Rattus norvegicus: one gene and its partner. The protein of the gene in region 1 purifies or fractionates together with the protein of each later gene. This does not show direct contact. Links are inferred from orthologs where the notes say so. Each region holds a gene or a part of one and is shown on either strand. Other genes may lie near its edges. The genes, in order: Pabpc4 and Paip1.

What was found.
Region 2: the proteins of Pabpc4 (region 1) and Paip1 purify together in Homo sapiens (co-immunoprecipitation; 3 studies listed by BioGRID and IntAct, with this or other methods). This does not show direct contact. The link is inferred for Rattus norvegicus from reciprocal best matches to the Homo sapiens genes PABPC4 and PAIP1.

The regions. Positions count from the first base shown.
Region 1 is NC_086023.1:140,857,688-140,868,104, reverse strand, and holds the end of Pabpc4 (polyadenylate-binding protein 4), read right to left. Parts: intron 9,934-10,417; coding exon 9,838-9,933; intron 9,643-9,837; exon of another isoform or gene 9,510-9,642; intron 8,644-9,509; coding exon 8,371-8,643; intron 8,138-8,370; coding exon 8,050-8,137; intron 7,925-8,049; coding exon 7,853-7,924; coding exon of another isoform or gene 7,805-7,852; intron 7,377-7,804; coding exon 7,290-7,376; intron 7,195-7,289; coding exon 7,067-7,194; intron 5,488-7,066; coding exon 5,394-5,487; intron 5,309-5,393; coding exon 5,178-5,308; intron 4,908-5,177; coding exon 4,818-4,907; 3' UTR 4,811-4,817; intron 4,317-4,810; coding exon of another isoform or gene 4,299-4,316; 3' UTR 4,016-4,298; downstream 1-4,015.
Region 2 is NC_086020.1:53,250,690-53,262,385, forward strand, and holds the start of Paip1 (polyadenylate-binding protein-interacting protein 1), read left to right. Parts: upstream 1-5,797; 5' UTR 5,798-6,004; coding exon 6,005-6,032; coding exon of another isoform or gene 6,033-6,272; exon of another isoform or gene 6,273-6,410; intron 6,411-6,847; coding exon 6,848-7,017; intron 7,018-11,696. UniProt on the Homo sapiens protein: Acts as a coactivator in the regulation of translation initiation of poly(A)-containing mRNAs. Its stimulatory activity on translation is mediated via its action on PABPC1. Competes with PAIP2 for binding to PABPC1.

The DNA of each region.
Region 1 (10,417 bases):
TTTACCTCGAAGACTGCTGTAGGATGCTTTACAACCTTCATCTGATTTATCAGATCAGCTATAAGAACCAATCACCTTCAATCTGGAGGGGATTGGAAGATTATTCATTGCAAGGGTACCTTCATCGAGATACACACACACACACACACACACACACACACACACACACACACACACACACCCCACTTGTATGCAATTCTGCCCTAATTGCATGTGGCTTGTGGACTGAGGGTCTCAGGAAGTCCTAGAGTAAACAAGTTGGAGAAGGTCATTGGAGGGGAGGGGGACATTCCATCTCGATGGCTCGATGGCTGTGGGGAAACCATCGGTCCATTCTCCATGGTATGTTCTCCATTGCGGCTGTCTGAGGACACTTCCTGTCAATAACCCATCACATGCTCTGTAAGGAAGCCTGATAAACTCACTGGGTAACTACTAGAATCCTATCCCACTTGGTATGGGGAGCTTCTCAGGGGAGGAGTTCTGGCTAAACCATACCTCTAAGTGTGCATTGTGACAGACACTGCCTACAAGGCCATGCACAGGGCCCTGGCTGAGTCAATGATGGTCAGCCTACCCATGGACTAGGAAAAGACAAGGAAGCCAAGACCTGATGTTGATTGAATTCCAGAAGTTGCTACATAAATGAAAAAAAAGTTTGAAAAGAATATTTAAAAATATTTAAAAAAAAAAAAAAAGGAAAGAAAGAAAACAAAACCCAAGGATTTACCAGGATCAGTTATTGTGGTTTGCATGGTTAAGACACCCCAGCTAACAGCACTGTTTTGGGAGGTGGGAGAATCTTTAGCTTATGAGGATTCAGCCATACGGAGTCACTAGGGGTGGCCTTTGAGGTAATGGCTGCCCCTGGTTCTGTCAATCAGATGCGCCTGCACTGTTAACATACCTTCCCTGCAGTGAGAAACAGAGACCCCTCCCTCCCCAGTCACTCCTGTCCAGGACTTTGTTTCAGTGATGGAAAACAGGCAGGTCTACCACGAGCTGGAGGGAGAAGCAATTTCATGTAGAATTCTTGGCATGGTTTTCAACCTTTAGAACTTTCAAGTGTGTGGACAGACGTTTTGCCTCCGTCTATCTGCATACCACCTGTGTTACTGGTGCCACAGGTTAGAAAGTATTAGACACCCTAGAAGTGAAATCACAGAACATGTGACCCACCGTGTGGGTGCTGGGAATTAAACCCAGGTCCCAGGTGCAACGAGTGCTCTGAACCCCTGGGCCAGCTCTCTAGCCCGGTTTTACCAGCGGATGGAAGTTAGCCTTTAAAAAAATAAATGAAAAGGTGGGGCAGTAATAGCACATGCCTCTAATCTCAGCACCCAGGATCTGTGAGTTCAAGGCTAGCCTGATCTACAGAGTGAGTTCCAGGACAGCCAGGGCAAGCGGGTGAGATGCTCTCAATATCAATAACAAAATTAAAAGCCAAACATAATGACGTAGGCCTTGTGGTCTCAGCATTCAGACAGTCTGAGACAGGAGAATCTCAAGTTCCAGGTTACAACAGTGAGACTCTGGGAGGGAAAAGACAATCTCAAAAATGAAGCCCGATTACTTTGCCTTGACCAAGTGATGGCAGATATTTCAGAGTCCACTCCATGCACTTCCTCAAACGACACAAACTGTGCCACTTCTGTGGTGTCCGTGGTGTTCCCGTCAGAGCATGCCGTCTTAGACACAATCAGGAGGGAGTTACCTGCCTGCTTGAGCTCACAGTTTAAGCCACACACACAGCCTGTTTCCTTACAAAAACAGGATAGGGGTGGGAAAGATGGCTCAGTGGTTAAGAGCACTGACTGCTCTTCCAGAGGTCCTGAGTTCAATTCCCAGCAACCACATGGTGGCTCACAACCATCTGTAATGGGATCTGATGCCCTCTTCTGGTGTGTCTGAAGTGTACCGATATATAATAAATATATAATAAATAAATCTTTAAAAGAATAACAAAAACAGGGGCTGGGGATTTAGCTCAGTGGTAGAGCGCTTACCTAGGAAGCGCAAGGCCCTGGGTTCGGTCCCCAGCTCTGAAAAAAAGAACCAAAAAAAAAAAAAAAAAAAAAAAGAATAACAAAAACAAAACAACAAAACAAAAAAACCCAGGACAATGGAAACCTGGGAAACAGCTTCAAATGAAGGGGATCAGAGATGCAGCAAAATGGTGTGCCTATGCTGGTGAACCCTCAGCTAGGAAAGAAAACCCACTAAAGTCGGAACATACATGTCTCGGAGGATTATGCCTGTACTAAATTTTGTACTTGTTCTCAGGAAATATATTAAAATCAGGCTTCATTGCCCACACCTTTGATCCTAGAACTCAGGAAGAGGCAGAGAGTTTGAAGCCAGCCAGGGTGACTCAGTGAAAGTAACAATAAAATTTAAAAATTAAATTTAAAAATTCTCAACTAGTGCTGAGTGAGTCTTAACTCCTTTATGGACATGTATGTATGCAGGTATATACACAAGTGTATACAAAAATCAGATTTCACATATGTACAGACAGGAAACTATACGCCTAAGAGTTCAATGTCAGCACGGCAAAACGACAAGAAAATGCTGGCCAGGGAGACAAGAATATTCAACTGTTCTCTGGGGAAGCTCAGTAGTTAGAGCAGCTGCTACACAGACTGAAGAAAGATCTCAGTGCTGAGCTTACAGGAGTCAGTGACAAGCACCCAAAACTGCTGGGGGCTGTAGGCAGGCAGAAGGCCGCCAATCTCAGGTTCAGAGACTCTGCTAGACTCAACTGCCCACTGCTGGGTTTGAAGACCTTTGGGCCACGTGTGAGTGGCATGAGCCTTGGAAGTTGGGAAAAGAAACAAATGCTACCCTTGGAGGCTACAGGTCAGACAGTCCTACAAGTGCAACTTCTTCCTCAGGAAAACCTGCTTTGTAGAAGTGCAACCGAACCCTGACCACCTTTACAAAGCACCCCACCCAACACATCCCTGCTTTCCAACAGCTTGTAGCCTGTGTGTACTATTGGACTGACAGAGGTCAATCAAGGGCCAGGTGACTCTACCAACCCCCATCTTTAAGCTTTAACTCTATGTACACACCAGTGAAGGTGCCCAAGGGCAGGACTCAGATCCTCTGGAGTTAAGGTGGTTTCGATGTGTCCAGAAATATTAGAGCTGTTTTATTACACATTAAGACTAGCAACTTAGCTACAGCCTCAGGGCAGAGGACCTGAGGCAGGAGTCAGAATCTTCAACTGCCCCTTACTCCAGCCTCCAGCTCCTACAGTCTTTGGACCCATGAATATCCACATACACTTGAAAAGGCCTCCAGTTGGGGGTTGGGGATTTAGCTCAGTGGTAGAGCGCTTGCCTAGGAAGTGCAAGGTCCTGGGTTTGCGCCCCAGCTCCGGAAAAAAGAAAAAAGAAAAAAAAAAAGACTCCAGTTTGGGTTTTTGGACCAGTTACTTAAAGAGAGAACTCTTAAGGGAACCTACCCATAGCCTGGAGGCAGGCTTGGCTGTTAAGACAGAATTATCAGAGGATTTCTGAGCATTTTCCCAGAGCTGAAGCCTTGTTGCACTTGCTGACGTGAGCAGGTAACTCCAGGAGACAAACTTTACTCCAGGAAGAGAGTGGAGGCTTTGACTAGGGATCCCTAGGGTTTGCAGCAATCCCGAGGGGCCTAGACTTTGCTGGTCTGAGCATTCTACATTCAAGTATACTGTCATGGTATGCAGAGCATTCTGATGGCTCAATTCAGCTCATTTTTTCAGGCTTGGGCTGAGCTGACTTCAAACTGGGTCTCACTATCCTGTAGCTCCTACTGACTCCAGCTAGGACCATAGGTGTCAGCCATGAGCTCAGGGCCTGGCACATGCCAGGCAAGCTCCACCCCAGTGACACATTAACTTACTGCATGCTTGCTTACCCAATCCTCCTAAAAAGGAAAAAGTAAATTCATTTAATACTAACAGTAGTTCTAGCAAAAAAGCCCAAGATATAGAATAAAACTGATTGGCAACACATAAAAACAGCCAGACTTGGAGATTTTATTTCCTTTATTGAGAAACTTAAGTCTTGGGTACATCAAAACCAATTTCTGGGAGAGGGGAAAAAAAACAGAACTCATAATAGAAAAAAAAGTTACCATCATCTGGGCCACAACAGAACCCAGAGAATATATTCTTATAATTGAAAAATTCTAGGTGCTTCATAATTGACCTTTTGATACAAAATGACCTGTTGAATTTGTAACTTGGTTCTTGAAAGAGGTCCACAGACAAACTAGGAAGTCTTCAGACCTCAGCTGAATGCCGTGAGGGGTTATTTGGCTTTTGACTCCTGAAAGAGAGCAGCACCAACACAAATAAGCAGCCCGCTATAAGAACTCCATCAGCATCAGCTGCCCCATCCCGCCCTGACTTCAACTGTCCATCACCTCTCAGGTACCAGTCCTACAAGACCAATATCCCTCTGCACACTGCTCTCCCAGCTTGGCAGGACACAATCTCACCCACCTCAGGCCAAGCTAGCAAGGTATAAGATATGCATAGATGCAGGTAGGTCTTATGATGTGACTGCCACTATGTCAGGCCAGGAGATTATTCATTTCTATGTGGTGGCCAAGCATGTGATCAGGTGCTTCTAGGTTGCTCAGACTGAGCAGCTGGGTACTAGGGCTCTGCCTCCCCAACGTGGACAGCTGGGATTACAGACATAGTCATGGACGTAGCCCCCCAGCATCCTGGAGGCTGAGTGAATCATCCTGGGGCATAGGCTAAGTAAGGCCCTATGTGAAACACCAGAGAGGCAGAAAATGTCAACTGTCAACATACTTCTGGTTTAAGAGGTAGCAGCAGCAACAGTGCCCACCTTCTGGGCAGCTTCTTTCTTGGCATGATGAGCCTGCAGGACTGCCACAGCTTCATCCACCTGTGGAAGACGCCCAGATGTTCAGAGACTGAGGGGAGCCACCCCAGGTGCTCAGTGACCCACTTGTCTCTCCTGGCACACAGACGTGGTCAATGAGTAGAAGATCCCCCAGGCGGGCTCCTCCTGGTGCTATCTCTTCAACAACTTTAGCAGTAGCTCAAATCAGACATGGGTGGCCATGGGGGCCACAGACCTTTCTCTCTGGACGGCCCCCAAGCTCATTCCCTGAAGCTAAACCGTGATGTCACAGGGTCTTGAAAGGCAGCTCACCTTGGAACGGAGGGACTCGGGGGACTCCAGCATGTGGAGCAGCTCAGAGTTGTCGATTTCTAGCAGCATCCCTGTAATTTTTCCAGCCAGGTTTGAATGCATTGTTTGGATAAGTGGGAACAAACGCTCCCCTGTGGGCAGAACAGTTGCCATCATAAAAGTGTCCAATCCCAGTGAGCACCAACTGACTGACATTTTCCCAAGCATGGAACTTACCCAGCATCTGCTTCTGCTCCTGGGGAGGAGCTGCAGCCAGCATGGAGGCAGTCAGGGGTTCTTGACCCTGGACATGGACTGCAGGCTGGGGGGCCTGTGAACCAGGAGAGGCAGTGGGGTTAGCACTAAGGAAGACTATGTGAAAGGGAGCGGAGGTGGCAGTCCTGTGCTCAAAGACAAAGCTGGCTAGCTGTGTACTGTAAGCTATTGGAAGGGGAAGATGCTGACCAACAAACCTGCCTCACAACACAAGGCCCTGCAGTCAAAACCAGGCCCCGGGAGACATAATTTGTGATTTTCATGTAGTCTTGGCTGGCCTTGATCCCCTTGCTGCCAAGGGCCAAGGGCTGGGATTACACGTGCGTACTTCACAGTATTTATGCACTTCTCTTCAATGCCTCCCTTACGTTATTGTCAGTACATACAGAGGCAGGAGCCAAAGAGTGAGAATCAAAACATTCCTAACCATACTTCATTATCCCCCGGTACAGGATGTTTGGGTTTTCTGTGTACCCTCTCCGAACCCAGGCTGGCCTCAGTAGGTGCTGACCTTTAACTCCTAATCCTTTTGTCTCTACTGACCCAGCACCTGGATTCTGGGATATGCTAATAATACCCTGGTAAATTCAACCTTTTCTTTTACAGGACTGGGGCTTGGTCTAGGTGTTTTTAATATATTAGCAATTATTTGAGGATCATTAATATATGCAACAGTGTTGCTAGAACCATAAAAAGGTGTTACAGGTGAATTAGCACCAAGTTCCAAGAAACCCCCACTGGAGAGAATGATGAGAAGGGAGACTATTATTAAGAATAATTCAAAGCAGCTTCTACTCCTGAAGTTGTCTGGGCAGGTGAGGCCCAGTCATAGCAAACTGCCACCAAGTTCTGAAAGTGGCTATGCTTTAGGTCACAGCTTAGGCACCTTAACCTCTGAATATTCTGGGAAGCTTTCTGTTGGGTGTTCTGTATATGTGTTTGACGATGTAGGGGAGGTCAACCCTGGGGCCTGGTTCCTCAGGCATCACCACCACTTTCTTAAGGAAGTCATCTCCCTCCCTGGTCTGGAATCTGCCCAGTAGGCCAGGCCAGGTTGGCCTCAGGGATTCCTGTTTAGATTTCTCACCTTGTCCAGCCTTTTCTGTGTTATGTGTGTATATGTGGCATGTGCACAGACGTAGGCCAGAGAACTGTCAGGTGTCTTCTCTAAGACTCGGTCTCTCGTGGAACCTAGAGCTCACTCTGGCTCTCCTGGCCAGCCTGCAGATCCAAGAACCATCATCTCTCTCTGGCCCCACAATGCCAACTCTTACATGTGTGCTTGGGACCTGAACTACTCAGGTCTCCATGCTTACACAGCACACTGTCCACTTCCCCACCCCTTTTCATATGGGTTCAGGGGATCCAAGTCTGAGCTTGCGCCTTTAACGGGCTGCCCACTGAGCTGTCAGTCCCTAGCCTGAAGAAAAGCTAGAGGTTACCAACTGCCTGTAAAACAGCCAAGGATCAATTAGGTCACCAGATGTGAAGGTAACCCAGAGGCAAGAGCTGAGCGTGCACAGGTGTCGTAAGAACCTGTTAACACTTAAGAGGAATCAAAAAACATGGCATCTTTAAAATGGAGCAGAAATAGGACAAATCCCTTCACAGTTCACAGCTCTGTTGTGCCTCACCTGCAGCGGCTGAATGGCAGGGTGAGGGCTGCGGACATTGGAGGCATACTTGTATGGAGCCACAGCCCTGGGAGCAGCAGCAGCGACTGTAGCACGAGGTGCAAGGTTTGGCACAGCCGTAGGGACGCCTTGTGGAGAGAACAAGTGTAATTAAAGCGCATCAGCCTGGGCAAAGGCCCGTCAAAATCCCAGCTTTCCCCCTTCTGTGTGCACCCAATACCACCTCCAGACTGGCAGCTGTCAGTCAGCCCTTGCTGGGCGGCACCAGCCCCACCAAAGTCCATAGCCAAGCGGTCCGGGCACTCAGACCCTACAACAGACCAGCAAATGCACATCAGTGTTGACAGCAGATGCCCAACTGGCCACGTCCCATGGAAGAACTCCAGCACATGACCACACATGTCCCTCACAGGGCCAAAGGACACCACAGACGTCTTTGCACATTTAGAATGAGAGTCTCCTCGTCCCTCCACCCTCAACAGCGTGGTGCCTGTATATCCATCCAGACAGAGTACTTCTGGGTGACCGTTCACATGACACCCGCTGAGCAGACAGTGTTCAGAGTGACCAACACACCAGGACCCACAGTCACTGCTCGTGAAGGCAGAAGCAACTACCTAAGCACACAGCTAAGGATGCAGGAAAAACGAGACCCAGACTGACCAAGCCAGGGCAGATCAGAGCCAGTCATCTGGATCCCCCCTCCCCGGCCATGCGCCTACAGGCCAGTTTGCTCACCGACTCTCTGAGCGGTAGTAGGAAGGCCACGAGAGGCCGGAGCATTACCAGTTGGAGCCAGATGCCGAAGAGCTGGACGAGGCCCAGATTGCCGCAGGGCACTTGGCATTCCTTGGAAGCCTGAAGAGACAAGGGCACTCAGCACGGACCAGCCAGGATGGACCAGGTGCTGGGTTGCAGGAGAAGCCGGTGAACTACTGGACAGGCATAGCCCGAGGAACAAGGCTCTGCTTCCTGCTACCTACCTTGAGGTCTCCCGCCTTGCTGCCAGCGTGGATTAGGCCTCATTTGCGCTAATTGATTAGGTGTGTAATATGGAGGTCTTCCCTGGGCCTGTAGGGGAAAAGAATCCAAGTCTTAAGAACCTGCACCCACTGCCCTCACCCGGACACTGGGTCAATATTTGGGTGATTAACTTAGTATTCTACTCAAAAGTGGAAGGACTGTCAATGGACAGTTATTCCACCTCATTGGCGATGTAACCACAGGTTAATTCATCTCTCTTACTTCAACACTAGTCCCCAAACACCCCTCCCTCAGCTGCCGAGATTGCCTAGCAGATCTACCTGTGGCACTGCCGGCACAAAGTAGCCACCAGCTGCAGGCTGGAACTGATTTAAGATGGCGTTGGCAGGGAGCGCTCTCATTCCTGCCACACGCTGCATATACTGGTTAGTCAGGTGAGCCTTCCGCTCCTCCTTCCTCTGGGCCAGGGCGACGTACAGAGGCTTGGAGCCCACAATGCGTCCGTTCATCTCCGTGACCGCTTTGGTTGCCTCTTCAGGAGAGGAGAAACAGACAAAGCCAAACCCTTTGCTTCTCCCGTCTTCCAGCATCACCTACGGAAAGAGACTGGATGTCACTGGGAGGCAGGACAGGAAAACAGAGTCTAATCAGTCTTACCAGCCCCTCTGAGCCCTGGTTCCCACACTCTAAGACAACTAACTCTGAATACATCACAGTCTCTGCAGAGCCAGCCTCTAACGTCTTTCTCTTTACTGAAGGGGTTACTGCTTTCCTGTGCCTTGTGTGTTGGCCTCTTTAATCCTCCAAGGTCAGTGTGTTACTAGGTCAACAGTCTTCTACCCATGGAACAGTGCCCTGTCATCTGCCTGGTCTTTAAAGGTATATGGCTTTGCAGAGGCATACACCAACAGGGCCAGTTAAGTGGGTGACACCAAGAAGAACCAGGAAATGTTTGCCAGGGCTATCCACCCCCCATCACAAACCTCCAGATATCTGAAGCAAGGAGGGTTCTTTTGCCAGCACCCCAAAAGGTTTAAATAAAATACCCACAGCAGAGCATAGTGGCATACACCATCTTGCCAGCCATCCAGGAGGCAAGCAGATCTGAGTTTTTGGGTCAGCCTGGTTTACATAGTGAATTCTAATCACCCAGGACTACATAGCAAGACCCTGTATGAAAATACAACCAACGAAAAACCGATACCAATACCAACACCTTACACAGAAGGCCAAACCCTACCTGGCCACCACTCAACCCTTTTCACAACTTAAAGGCCTTGTGTGGTAGCTGCTGTGTGCTCCACCAAGCAATATGCAGTGTCAGGCCACTACCTCGACCAGTGTCACTCCCCAAGTGCTAAGGTCCCGTTGCAGACCATGCCCGCATGATCTTGGCTGTCCAGCCAAACTTTCCTGTCAAAGGCCCACTAAACCTTTAAAACCTTGTTCTCAAGGGGGGAAGTGTGGCAGAGTTGTAGGGACAGGCCCCAGGACAGATGGAAACGACCCGTCTGGATTTCCTCTGCTCTACTATAGCACTGCCTGTCCCCAGACCAGCACCAAGCAAGCAGGCCTGGGAAAGATTTGAGTGCTGTGAGGAACTGGGCCAGACTCCAAGCCCCAGTGCAAGTAGACAACACATACAATCACAAACCTTCTCCAGATATCTGAAGCAAGGAGGAACATGCTAGAACATTGTACTCTGGACCACCAACACAATTAACTAACGCCATTGACCCAACGACAGAAAAAACTGTTTCCAAACCCATGCTAGCACACGTTATTACCTTCGCACTGGTGATTGATCCAAAGGGTGAGAACTCTTTCCTTAACTTCTCATCGTCAATGGTGTCATCCAAGTTCTTAATGTAGAGATTCACTCCCTGGAGAGGGGATTACTGTTAAATACATCTCTATACAGTTATTTCCCAACACACTTGGGGACCTGTCAAGTTAAAACTCTTGCCTGAAGTCAGGCAGTGGTTGGTGTATGCCTTTAATCCCGCACTTGGGAGGCAGAGACAGGTGGATCTGTGAGTTTGAGGCCAGCCTGATCTACAGAGTGAGTTCCAGGCCAGATAGGGCTACACAACAAACCCTGTCTCACCAAAAACCACCCTACCAACCAAAAACAATTCTTGCCTGTGACCCTTCTTGTACTCAGGAGGCCAAGGCAAGGGACTATTGAGTGTTTGAGGCCAGCCTAGGATACAGAGCAAGACCCTACCTTAAAAAACAAAACCTAGAGGCTCCAGAGTTGGGGCTCTAACCCGTTTTGAGGAAGGAGGGTTGCTAGAGATCTAGGTCAGCCTAATGCAATGATTTCCCCCAGGCCACCCCGAGTTATAGTAAACTCTGCCTCAAATC
Region 2 (11,696 bases), on another chromosome or scaffold:
TATATGAATTTCTATAACCAATACCAAATAGGTCTGTAGCTTCCTAAGATCTATCCATTATATACTCTCCATCTCATATGCATATGAGTAGCTCCTAGGGAGTTTATAATGGAGTCAAGAGGTCACATTAAACAATACCGGTAGATCCTGGAGAGATCTCAGGCAGCATTCTTGTCCAGAGGAGATGCTTCCCTGATCCAGAACTCTACAGTGCTAACTGGCTGAGGTTACCAAGGGCCCAAGAGACCAGGAGAGGAAGATAATTTACACAAATGAGACCCATGAGGACAAACACATCAGCTAATTCTTCTTCTCTTCCTTAATGATTCCTCCATTCTTTGATTGTGGCATTCAGGTTGCTGGGGTGGTTTGAGTAGAGAAGGGTGGATTGATTTACCCAGGAATAATGTAGTAAGATACAGCAAGGTTTATTGGGTTAGGAAAACGTTCTACCTCAATGACAAATTACCTGAGAAACAATTTAAATAGGGAAGAGTTCTTTTGGCTCCATTTCTGAATTATTGGAATTCATGGCCTGCTGGCTTCATTGCTTTAAGACCCTCATCAAGTCAGAAAAAAAAATTTTTTTCGGAGCTGAGGACCGAACCCACTGAGTTAAATCCCCAACCCCCCAAGTCAGAAATATTATGGAGGAAAGATGCCAGGGAAAAACTAGTCAGCTTGTGTCAAACAGGAAGCAAAAGGGGGAGTCCAGGAAGGATCAACAGCAAGATGGACCCCAAAGTCCTATCCTCAAATGACCTAATTCTTCTGGCTAAGCCTCATCTTCTAAGTTCCATTATCTCCCAAAATAGTTCCCTCCTGCTGGGGGCCAAGGCTTCACCAAGGTGTGTGAGCATGTGTGTGAGCGCGTGTGGTGATACTGTACAGATTGCATTCCTGTTTCCCCTCCAGAAGCTGATTACCAGACCAATGCAAAATGTTTTACACTTGTTTCTAAGAGTCCCCAAAGTCTCATCAGTTCCAACATTGTCCAAAAATCCAAATTTAAAGTCTCTGAGGCTCAAGACGAATCTTTAGCCGAATCTCCTTACAAAATAAAGATCACTTTAATCCAGTATAAAATGGTACGGAGTAAATATCCCCATTGGATAAATAATAGAGCTGGAGAATAGAAAACAGGGCCAAGTAAAAGCCAAGTCCTGGAGGGTAAATACTGAGTCTCATAGGTCCATGTCTGGCATGACGTAAGCTCTCAGGGTCTTCTTGACCCTATAGTCCACATGGCATTTGTTTGTGTAAGGAAGATAATGTGTGTAAAGTAAGTTTTGTGTGTGTGTGTGTGTGTGTGTGTGTGAGAGAGAGAGAGAGAGAGAGAGAGAGAGAGAGAGAGAGGCAGACAGACAGACAGACAGACAGACAGAGGCAAAGAGACAGAGACAGAGATGTGCATGTGTGTAGGGTTGTTGGCCCACCTCTGCTCCAACATTGGGCAGGGCAGCTAGGGGAGGCAGAAGGCGGGCAGTTTGACTGCACTTATCCCACTCGGGAGGGCAAAGGCAATGAGTATCCCATCATTTCCTTTAAGGTAGGATCTCTCTGTGAACCTAGAGCTCATGATTTCTTTGTTCAGGCCAGCAACTAGCAAGCCCCAGAACCCTTCTGTCTCCATGTCCCTCAGTGCTGCAGTCCAATCTTCCCATTCTCGTGCACGAGTAGGAAGCACCTTTAACCAGTTAGCCATCAGTTCCATCTTGCATTATTTTTCTTGTGGGGGTGGGGAGATAGATCTGGCTATGCTTCTTTCCTGCTGGTTTTCTCAGCAGACATTCTATATTCTTGGCATCTCCTGCTTCCTGGGGTCTCCATCACATTGGCTTCAAAATAGCTCTCTCAAGTTCTACTTACAGGAATACTGATTGATCCTGCCACACATAGCCTGATTTCCCCTTTGAAATAGGAGTGTAAACTATTGGGAAGATTGGTTTTTGTTTTTGCATTTTGCCTTTTTTGGGGAGGATTGGTTTTTGTTCTTGGATTTTGCCCTTTTTTGGTAAGTGGGTAATGAAACGTCGTTAGTTTTAATTTGCAGTAACTAGTGGTTAATTGAGAAGTTTTCATGAACGTAAGTGCTCTCTGTATAGTCTCTTCTATTAATGTGATATTTCCATTCTCTAACTGGATTTTTTTTTTTAGTTGGCTTATGACAATTCTTCCTATTTTCTGCTTACATGTCTTTTGTCGGATATGGGCCATGCAAATATTTCCTCCTTCGTAGTTATGAAAATGTTCTCATTAGCTGGCCTTGACAGGTTCTCTGAGGCAGTGGGAGCCAGCACTGGAAACAGTCTTCATTACTGTCACTGTAACGGTGACTTTTGGTGTGGGGAGTCTACTGTAAATTAATAGTTACAGTTTGAAGACTGTGTGGACCAAGAACTGGGTTAGAACCTACAACAGTGCTTCTCAACTTCCCTAATGCTTCCACCCTTTAGCATAGTTCCTCATGCCACCCAGATGTGGTGGTACACACCTTTAATTCTAGAACTCAGGGGGCAGAGGCAGACAGATCTCTGAGTTCGAAGCCAGCTTGGTCTACAGAGTAAGTTCCAGGACAGCCTGGACTATACAGAGAAACCTTATCTTGAAAAACCAAACCAATCAAAAACAAACAAACAAAAAACCAAAAAAAACCCTCCCTCATATTGTGCTGACCCCCTAACCATAAAATTATTTTGTTGCTACTTCATAACTGTAATTTTGCTATTGTTATGAATTATAATGCAAATGCAATGTAAATATATGATATGCAGGATATCTTATATGCAATCTCTGTGCATTTGACCTCAAAGAGGTTTGAACCAAAGGTTGAGAACCGCTGACCTAGAAGTACCAATAAGGCACCACCTGCCTTCAAAGGGTAATTTCAGTAGAGAAATAGTTTAAAATTTTTTTCTAGTAATCTGACATGCAAGGTACCATGACGGTATCCTCTCAGAGCACAACCATGTCAAGGGAAAATCTAGGCAGCTTAAGGAAGTATTCCTGAAGAGCACCATCTAAGATAACTTAGAGGAAACTCTTTGTCCTAGTTAGTGGCATGTCCTCTTTCTGATAGTGTACACCACACTTCCCATCTTCTCTGAATGGAATCCGGCAAACCCTTTTTGCCACCAATCAATAAGCAATGCACAAATGGAGAAGAAGAGCTTTTCTAGTGATCTTCAGTGAGCCCTTCATGGCTCTTATATGTCCTAAAGTGGCCTTTTACTGTAGTACCCAGAAGTCCAGCATTACAACAGTCCCTAGAAGGATCTGAGTTTCTCTAATAATCCTGGCATATGCCCCACAGGATATGAGAACTTATATAAATAAAACTGAGGCAGATACAGATTAATAATAATTATCATTCACTGCTGGTTTGCAATAAATCCTGGTTTGCAAATCACAAATTAAATCCATTCATGTTGTCCCTACTCCATCTCTCATATGTCCAAGCATAGAGCTAAAATTACACAACAGGGAACGGGAGGTGGCCTAGGGTGTTTGAGTTAACTCCTCTGGTTCAAGGAGCTTATAAATATTCCCTGGTATCAGCATGGATATTTACCCAGTAAAGTCTCCATGTTAGAAAAGGTGATTATCCACTGTGAAACCTTTAACCGGAGATCCGGTAGATCAATTGCAGGGACAAGCTTAGCATCCACAAGGCCCTGTGTTCAATTTTAGTACCTTCCCCACAAGCCCCCCACCAAAACCAAAACAAAACAAAAAAGTGTTAGAAGAAAACAAAAGGGCAGTCACCAAAAGCCTGCCACAGATGCGGTACAACTGCATCAGTAAGAACACTGAGGATATGCTATCTCACTTCCAGATTTTTAACAGTTTTGGGTCCTTTCTGCGTAGGAAAGAAGGTCAAGCAAGATGTAACCGCTGAGCCAGGCGCTGATGCTCGAAATCACCACACCTGGGAGGAGGAGGCAGGTGGAGCCTGTTCAAAGTTGGCCTCAGCTCCATTGAAGCCGACCTGAACTACAGGCTTCAGTCTCAAGAAATGATCTGGCTTCTAGTGGAGGTGGAGGTGGATGAAGGTGAGAATATGGGGGTTTGGTGGGAGGTGGGAAGGACTCCTTTACCTTTAAGGGGCTGGCCACCAGGGCTTTGGCCATGCTTCAGTGAGTATCTGAGCCACACCAATTGAACTTTTTTTTTCTTTGTCTTATCTTTGGTGAGGGTACAAGAGTGGAGGATGGGCATGAGAAGAATGGAAATCAAGTTGGATCGGGGTGCACTGCATGAAATTCCCAAATAATTAATAATTACCTTGAGAAATTTTTTTAAATGTCAAACAAAAATAAATGACTGCTGCCCATAGTCAGAGACATTTTAGAATGCCAACAGCATCGTCTCTATCCACTTTTAAACGGAAATCTTGTACAATATTAATCAAGAGCACAAATCATCTACTGATGCTTGCCTCAATAAAACCCATATTTTCTTGTTGATTTACTTGAAGGAGTGTTTCACATGGTTAATAAAAATGGTTAATATGGACATTTTGGTTCTATTTGAAATGATACTGTAGATAAAACTTGGAAAACCATTAAGCCCTCCTTAAATCACAGAGTTAAACTCAGAATTCTGGAGATGGCTCAATGCAACAGTAAGGGCATCTATTTTTTCCTTTTTCATTATTTACATTCACCTTCCACTTGGCATTAGCACCATCAGCCCTGACAAAAACAATTTACAGATAATTACTGGAATTGTGTTGTGCAATACTGCAGCCAGTAACTACACGTAGCTCTGGAACATTCTAAATGTGCCTGATTCCCAATGAGAAATGCTTTGAGTGTAAAATACACATTAGCCTTCAACTAATTTTCAAAGAGAGAGGCTATGCTATTCACATTTAACATTAATTACAGGTTACAACGATACCATCTGAGCATATAGGAGTAAGGATATTAAAATTAATTTCACCTGCCTTTTCTTTAAGGCGGCTTCTGCACATTGACAATTAAGTGGTTTGCAATTTTTGCTCATGAACTTTATTGGACAGCGAGTGTGGAAGATGCAAGAGGGAAGAAGCAGACGTGCAATGGAAGGTAGTGTAATTTTTCTAAGAAGTTCCTGGAGGGAAGACACAAGGGCAGCGGAAGAGGCTTGGTGGACGTGACCTAGTGTGTGTGATAACACCTAGTGGGAACTGGAAGGCGGGCGCGGTTGCGTTCTGTTTGCACTCCCTTTCTCCGCAGACAACCGGGCAGAGGGAGGGCTGCGTCCCGGGCCCCCTTCGCCGCCAGGCCTCGGGGTTCGGCCGGAGCGCTATCGCTGAACACACCTGCGCGCCCACTGAGGTGCGCGTCGGCGAACCCTGGCGCTGCGCCCACGCCCCCTCCCCCCGGATTATTTTCCTGGCACCAACCGTCAGTCTCGCACTTTTCACCAGAGGAACCAGCGGGGAGGTCGGAGTCGCCCGGTAAGCGTCCCCCGAACTATCCCTCAGCCCGACCCCGGGAGCCTAGACCGCCGAACGCGTCCGTCAGCGGAGCCGCCTCCTGGCCCGGACGTCGCTCGTCCAAGCGGCCGGGTGAAGCCGCGGCTGCCCGCCCGCCAGCCAGCCTGCCTGCCCGCCCGCCCGCCCGCCGGCCCGCCAGCCCGCCAGCCAGCCAGCCAGCCAGCCAGCCATCCGCGAACGCGAGCGACCGTCGCCAGCCGGCGGGAGGGCAGCCGCGCCCCGGGCCTCCGGGCCGCGGGGGGCCGCTGTGACCCGTCTCGGCCCCACTGCGCCGCGGGCGGGCAAGTGGGCGGGAGGGGGAAGTGGGGCTTAAGGGAGAGCGTCCGCCAGCCGAAGGGAGCTGGGGAGGCGGGCGCTGTGCTGCGGCGCGTCGGCGGGGGCCCGGAGCGCGGAGGACCGAGCAGGGCCCGCCGGCCTCCTCCATGAGGCCTGAGTGAGGCACAGCGGTGACAGGCGGCCCGCGGCGCCTCCCGCGCGTCCTATTCGGAGCAGCGGCGGCGGCCCCGTTGGAGAGCAAGGAGCATGTCGGACAGTTTCGATCGGGCTCCAGGTGCTGGTCGGGGCCGGAGCCGGGGCCTGGGCCGCGGAGGGGGCGGGCCTGAGGGCGGCGGGTTCCCGAACGGAGCGGGGCCTGCGGAGCGGTCGCAGCACCAGCCACCGCCGCAGCCCAAAGCCCCGGGCTTCCTGCAGCCGCCGCCGCTGCGCCAGCCCAGGACCGCCCCGCCGCCAGGGGCCCAGAGTGAGGCCCCCGCCGGCTCCGCGCGGCCTCCCCGGCCTGGGGCGCTCCCAGGTACGGAGCAGCTCGAGGGGCCCCGGTGCTCCTGGGCCAGCTTTCCCCCGCGGGCCTTCGCGCACGCCGAGCTCCGGCGCGCCGAATCCGCCCCCCGGTTCTCCGAAAGCATTCCCCGAGGGGCCCGCTCGGCACGGGGTAGGGACTAGCCAGGAACTGGGTTTGGAAGGAGGTGGTGGCTGGAATCCTTTGTGCGCTCCGGCTGGGGGAGGGGCCCGGGCCGGGTGCTTAGTCTGGCGTCCCGGGAGGAAGTCAGAATCGCCTACCTCTCTCTAGTGAACCCGGGGCCCCAGGCGAGCATCACACTTCTTAACCAACTCCTTACTAGAGAGGGAAGGGGTGGGAAAAGCCCTCGAACTTTCGATTTGCAGGCAGGTATGTGCACTCACGAACCAAAGCAAGGCTATTGTTCCATTTTGCAAGCTCTTTTGTACGACTCTTAACGATCTTACGTTTTGTATTTAACTCCTAAAATCCGGAAGTTCTCAGACGGTTTCTAAATCTGTAGTAAGTTGCTATATACAAAGGAATGAATACATCTAGCACTGCTTTTTCTTTTCCTTTTTCTTTCTCAGAACAAACGAGGCCCCAGAGAGCTCCACCTAGTTCACAGGATAAAATCCCACAGCAGAACTCGGAGTCAGCAATGGCTAAGCCCCAGGTGGTTGTAGCTCCTGTGCTAATGTCTAAGCTGTCTGCGAACGCCCCCGAATTTTACCCATCAGGTTATTCTTCTAATTATACAGTGAGTACATTTTTTTTAAACCTCCTACAACTCTTGTGTAAAACTATTGGAATAAAGTGGTTATTCTCGCTAGAGTATGCTGGCTGCTTTCTGTACTACACACAGAAATATCTTACTCAGCGAAGTCATGATTTAGGAATATAATTTGCAGTTATGTATGAGATATTGGCGTGTAAGCTTGTGAATGGGAATTCTTGCTGGCTCGTTTCACTGTTGTGTTCCTAGTACTTAAAAAGAATATATAAAATAACCTGGTATGAAAAGCCCACTGTCAAACATTTTCAATTTGTAAAACTAAAATCCACTTCTGAACCTTCTAGATAACCTGTACAGTGAGCAGTCAGGAAAGCTTCCTTTAAATTGATTTTAGTCACGTTGCAGAAAATTCTTTGGTGTGGCCTTTGAAGTAAATTAAATAGCGTTTTGCTGTAGATATTCTTATGAATATTGAGAAACACATCTCGGCTCTTTATTTCTAGAGCAAGTTTTGTCCATTATGTTAAAACAATTTTTTGTTGCAGGTTACATGTTATATACAGAAATATTGTAAATCTTTGATTGATTGGGTTTTGTTGTCTTTATTTTGTTGTTGTTGTTGTTTTTGATTGAGGCAGGCAAGGCAGTTGTCCTGCTCAGCCTTCCAAATCTGGGATTACAGGTATAACTTCACCATGCTTAATATGTAAGCGATTTTGGCAAAGCATCTACATAAGTATACTATACATAGGTATAAAGAACTTTCTGCACTTTTTTAATCTTTGTCAATAATGCAGCAAATCTTAATTGGTCCTTGTTTTCATATTAGTAGGACGCATAATGTATGGTTAAAATGTATAGGAAGAAACTCATTGTGCTTACTAAATTCAAAATAGTCAATGCAGAGAGATTAGCATTAGAGAAGGGAGGCATGACAGTGGTGAATTAAAGATGATTGGTAATACCTCAGCTAGAAGTCTCTCAGTCTCTTCAGTTTACTGGATAATAGAATGAACAAGGCTCAGCTCACAGTTAACCACTCAAGACAACTCTGACAAGCAAACAGAAAAGTATCAACATACAATAAGCCCCATTCATCCCTAAAATTATCACTCATGCCCAAAGGTAACCACTGAGCTTTGTTTTGTTTTCTTTAGATAGTTTTGATTTGTATTACTAATTATCCTTGAGCTTGATAACCTCTCACCTCACCTCTCCTCTGCTGCCCTGTTCCCAGTGTTTGGGTGTGAGTACTGACTCACCATTTTGACATACAAAGTATTTTTTCAAAGCTTACATAAATGAAGTTTTTTAGATTGTTCTAGCTCTACATCTAAATTTATATTGTAACATAATTTGAGATAATTTATTCACATCACTTGACTGTATCAGGGTTCCATTTGTTCCTTTATCAATGGATAATTTCTACTTTGGGGCTATTGTGCTGAATCTTGTCTATGTCCTGACTGATATATGCCTTTATTTCTGCTTGGTTTGTAAAAGAAGAATTATAGTAGCCAACCTTAATAGAATCAGCCATCGTCTCTAAGACCTTCCCAGTCTACATTCCTCACAGTGTCTGATTTGCTACTTGCTGCTCTTTCTAGTCAGAACTTGGTATTTTCTGTTTAGCCATCCCAGTAGTTATGGTTTCTTAAAATTAATGACTGCATACCTTCTGTAATCTGTATTTGGTTCTCCTCATGTTTGATCAGTGTGGAAACTCTGAATTTTGTAGAAATAGAAGTTCCATTCATCTTTTAGCTTTGGGATTAGACAGGAGACAGTATGAATATGGCCGGAAGAGCAGTCGATTTGGTGAAGAAAGCCATTGTCATGAAAAGTAAATAGGAGTAGCTTGGCGTGTTGTCAAAGTTGTATTTGGCTCAGAAATGGAAGGAACCATTAAAGAGCTTGAGTAGTTGAATAAACTCCTTGAGAATGTTTACTTTTTAGCAGCCAAAACCAGTTACCCGTTCATTTTCCTTCCTGTTGCCGTGAACTATTTTATTTTATCATGGGAGGAATACAGGTTTGTTGTTGTTGTTTTTCATTTCAAAGTCCTGAATAAAATTCAAATGACCCTTCAATTATAAGTATATTTGTTTGTGGTTATGTACAAGTGAGTGCATTTGTCTGAGCAGACCAGAGAAAGAATCGGATCTCTTTGGAGATGGATTTACAAGATGGTTGTGAGTAGCCAGTGGATGCTAGGAAAGGAACTGGGTCTTTACACATGCCCTTTTTTTTTTCCTTCCTTAATGACGTATGTGTATGTGTATTAGTGTTTGACCTGCATGTATGTTTGTGTGAAGGTGCTGGGTCCTCTGGAACTGGAATTATGTATGACAACTGTGAACCGCCATGTGGATGTTTGAAATTGAACTCCAGTCTCAGGAAGAGCAGCCAGTACTCTTAACCACTGAGCAATCCCTCCAATCCCGTGTTATATCCTCTTAACCACCAAGCCATCTTCTCTACCCCTCCACCACTTCCTTTGAATCAGTGTTGTATTTTAGGAATTCTTTCGTTTATTTATTAGTGTAACAATTTCTCTATTCAGTGTACCAAAACAAATTAAGGACTAGAAGCTTCTTTGGCCCTGTCTGACCTTTTGTTTTAAAGATTGTTTTAATTAGTTGACAAAATTTAAATTGGATATTGAAAAGTCTATATTTCCTAATTTCTGTTCAGTCCATAATGGACTGGAATTCTGAAAGCAAAATTGGTTGAAGCATAAGAGCATTAATTAACAGTTTCTTCCCTGAATGACTCTTGTGTTGTAATTCTTATGAATTTCATGGGTAAGTGCTTGGGCTTTTGCTGCTATGCCCCAGTACATTTTCTCAACTTTACTAGTTCACATGAGTGTTTACTCATAGTCCAGGTTAAATGTTTTTTAGTCCATTTAGTGCAGAACAAGAGAATCCTCATTAGCCCCAACTTTTCATATAAGTTCCTATAAGGAAATCTTTTCTGTATAATAGCCATGTCCCAAAGTAAGCTAGATTCACACATTCCACACATAGTTCAATACTTATGCTGGGTCAGCAATAGTCATATAGTACAAAGCAGAGAAAACTGTCTTGTTGTTGTTGAGTGTACTTTTTTTTTTGATTTGTGAATGAGTAAAGACACTGTTGCTGTCTTCAGACACAGCAGAAGAGGGCATCCAATCCCATTACAGAGGGTTGTGAGCCACCATGTGGTTGCTGGGAATTGAACTCAGGACCTCTGTAAGAGCAATCAGTGCTCTTAACCACTGAGCCATCTCAGCGTAAAAAAACTGTCTTTATGGAAGTTCTTTTCTAGAAATCTTCCTGTTTCCAGAAATCCCTTGAGTCTGTTCTTTATACATAATTGGTTCAGTGAGATGGCCCTGCAGGTAAAGTGATTTGCTGCCAAGCTGATGACCTAAGTTCAGTTCCTGGGACCCACATGATGAAGAGAACCAACTCTCACAAGTTGTCCTCTGCCTTCCGTGCATAGACAGACCCACAAATGTGCACACATGCATGCACACAGAAAACCTTTATGGTGGTTTCTGCTGTGCCTTTTAGGTTCCTTCACAACTATGTGTGCTCTTAATCTTCATTCCTTCTCACTCTGCTGCTAGAATTTCCTCCTTTTCATATTGTCTTAGCAAGTTACTGTATCCATCTCTTCATGGTTGCTTCTTAGACAAATTAATATGACCATGAATATTTAATCATAGGTTACTTACTGGTAAAAGGTTCCATATAGGATCTCATCAAGCCCTTGTTAAGAGATGAAAATGTTAGTGTCTTACTATACCATCAGCAACAAAAAAAAGCTTTTTTCCTAAAAGTATCTTCCTTCAAGTTACTGCTGCCTTTTTTTCTCTTAAAAATTGTCATCGGTACTCTGTGATGCTCAGTGAATGCATGTCTCTGCAGTTGATCCCTCTAGGTATGTCGATGCTATTTTTATGACTGTAAATGATACTCCTCTGTTTTTTAAATATGTAGTCATCTTAACCTGCCTTTATTTTAGGCCCCAACACAATATAATCTGTTTAGTTTAAAAGACTATGCTGTGTCCTATGGTATATGTCAGTTACCTTTTGTGATCTTTAATAAAATCTCTTATAATTATACTAGAACTACATATTTAATATTACTAGTTTTGTTCTGTCTTTGTGTATAATCATCTTTATTTCTAAGACTGCAGCTAACATTCTCTTTCAGATTTTAACCTATGAACCTGACACCGATCATCACTTTTCCTTACTCAGCTGCCCTTTGATTTCTGAGTTGATATTTCTCTATCCTCCTCCTCCTCAGACCACAGCCTCTAATGTTTTTCCATTTTATTACCTCCTTTGTGAATCCTGCCTCCTCCCAAATTCTGATACTTACTTTCTCGTGTATGAATAACCGTCAAATCTCATTCTTTAGAACTCCAGACTTTGTAGCTTGATCTTTTTCTTAACTTCATAAGGATCTCATATTTAAATTAAAGTGTAAAATAATTATCTTACATAGTTTTTTTCCTAATAGGGTTTGGGCAGGAACTTGGTTGTGTTGACTCAGCCCCCATCCTTTTCGGGGTTCATCCAGCTGATGACCTAAGTAGTCTGAGTTACTCCAGAGTCTCCGTCTCTGCTCAGGTCCCTCTCCCAGTGCCTGGGATTAGGACCTCTTGACATTGCAGTACGTAGTGACTACCTTCATTAAAGGTAC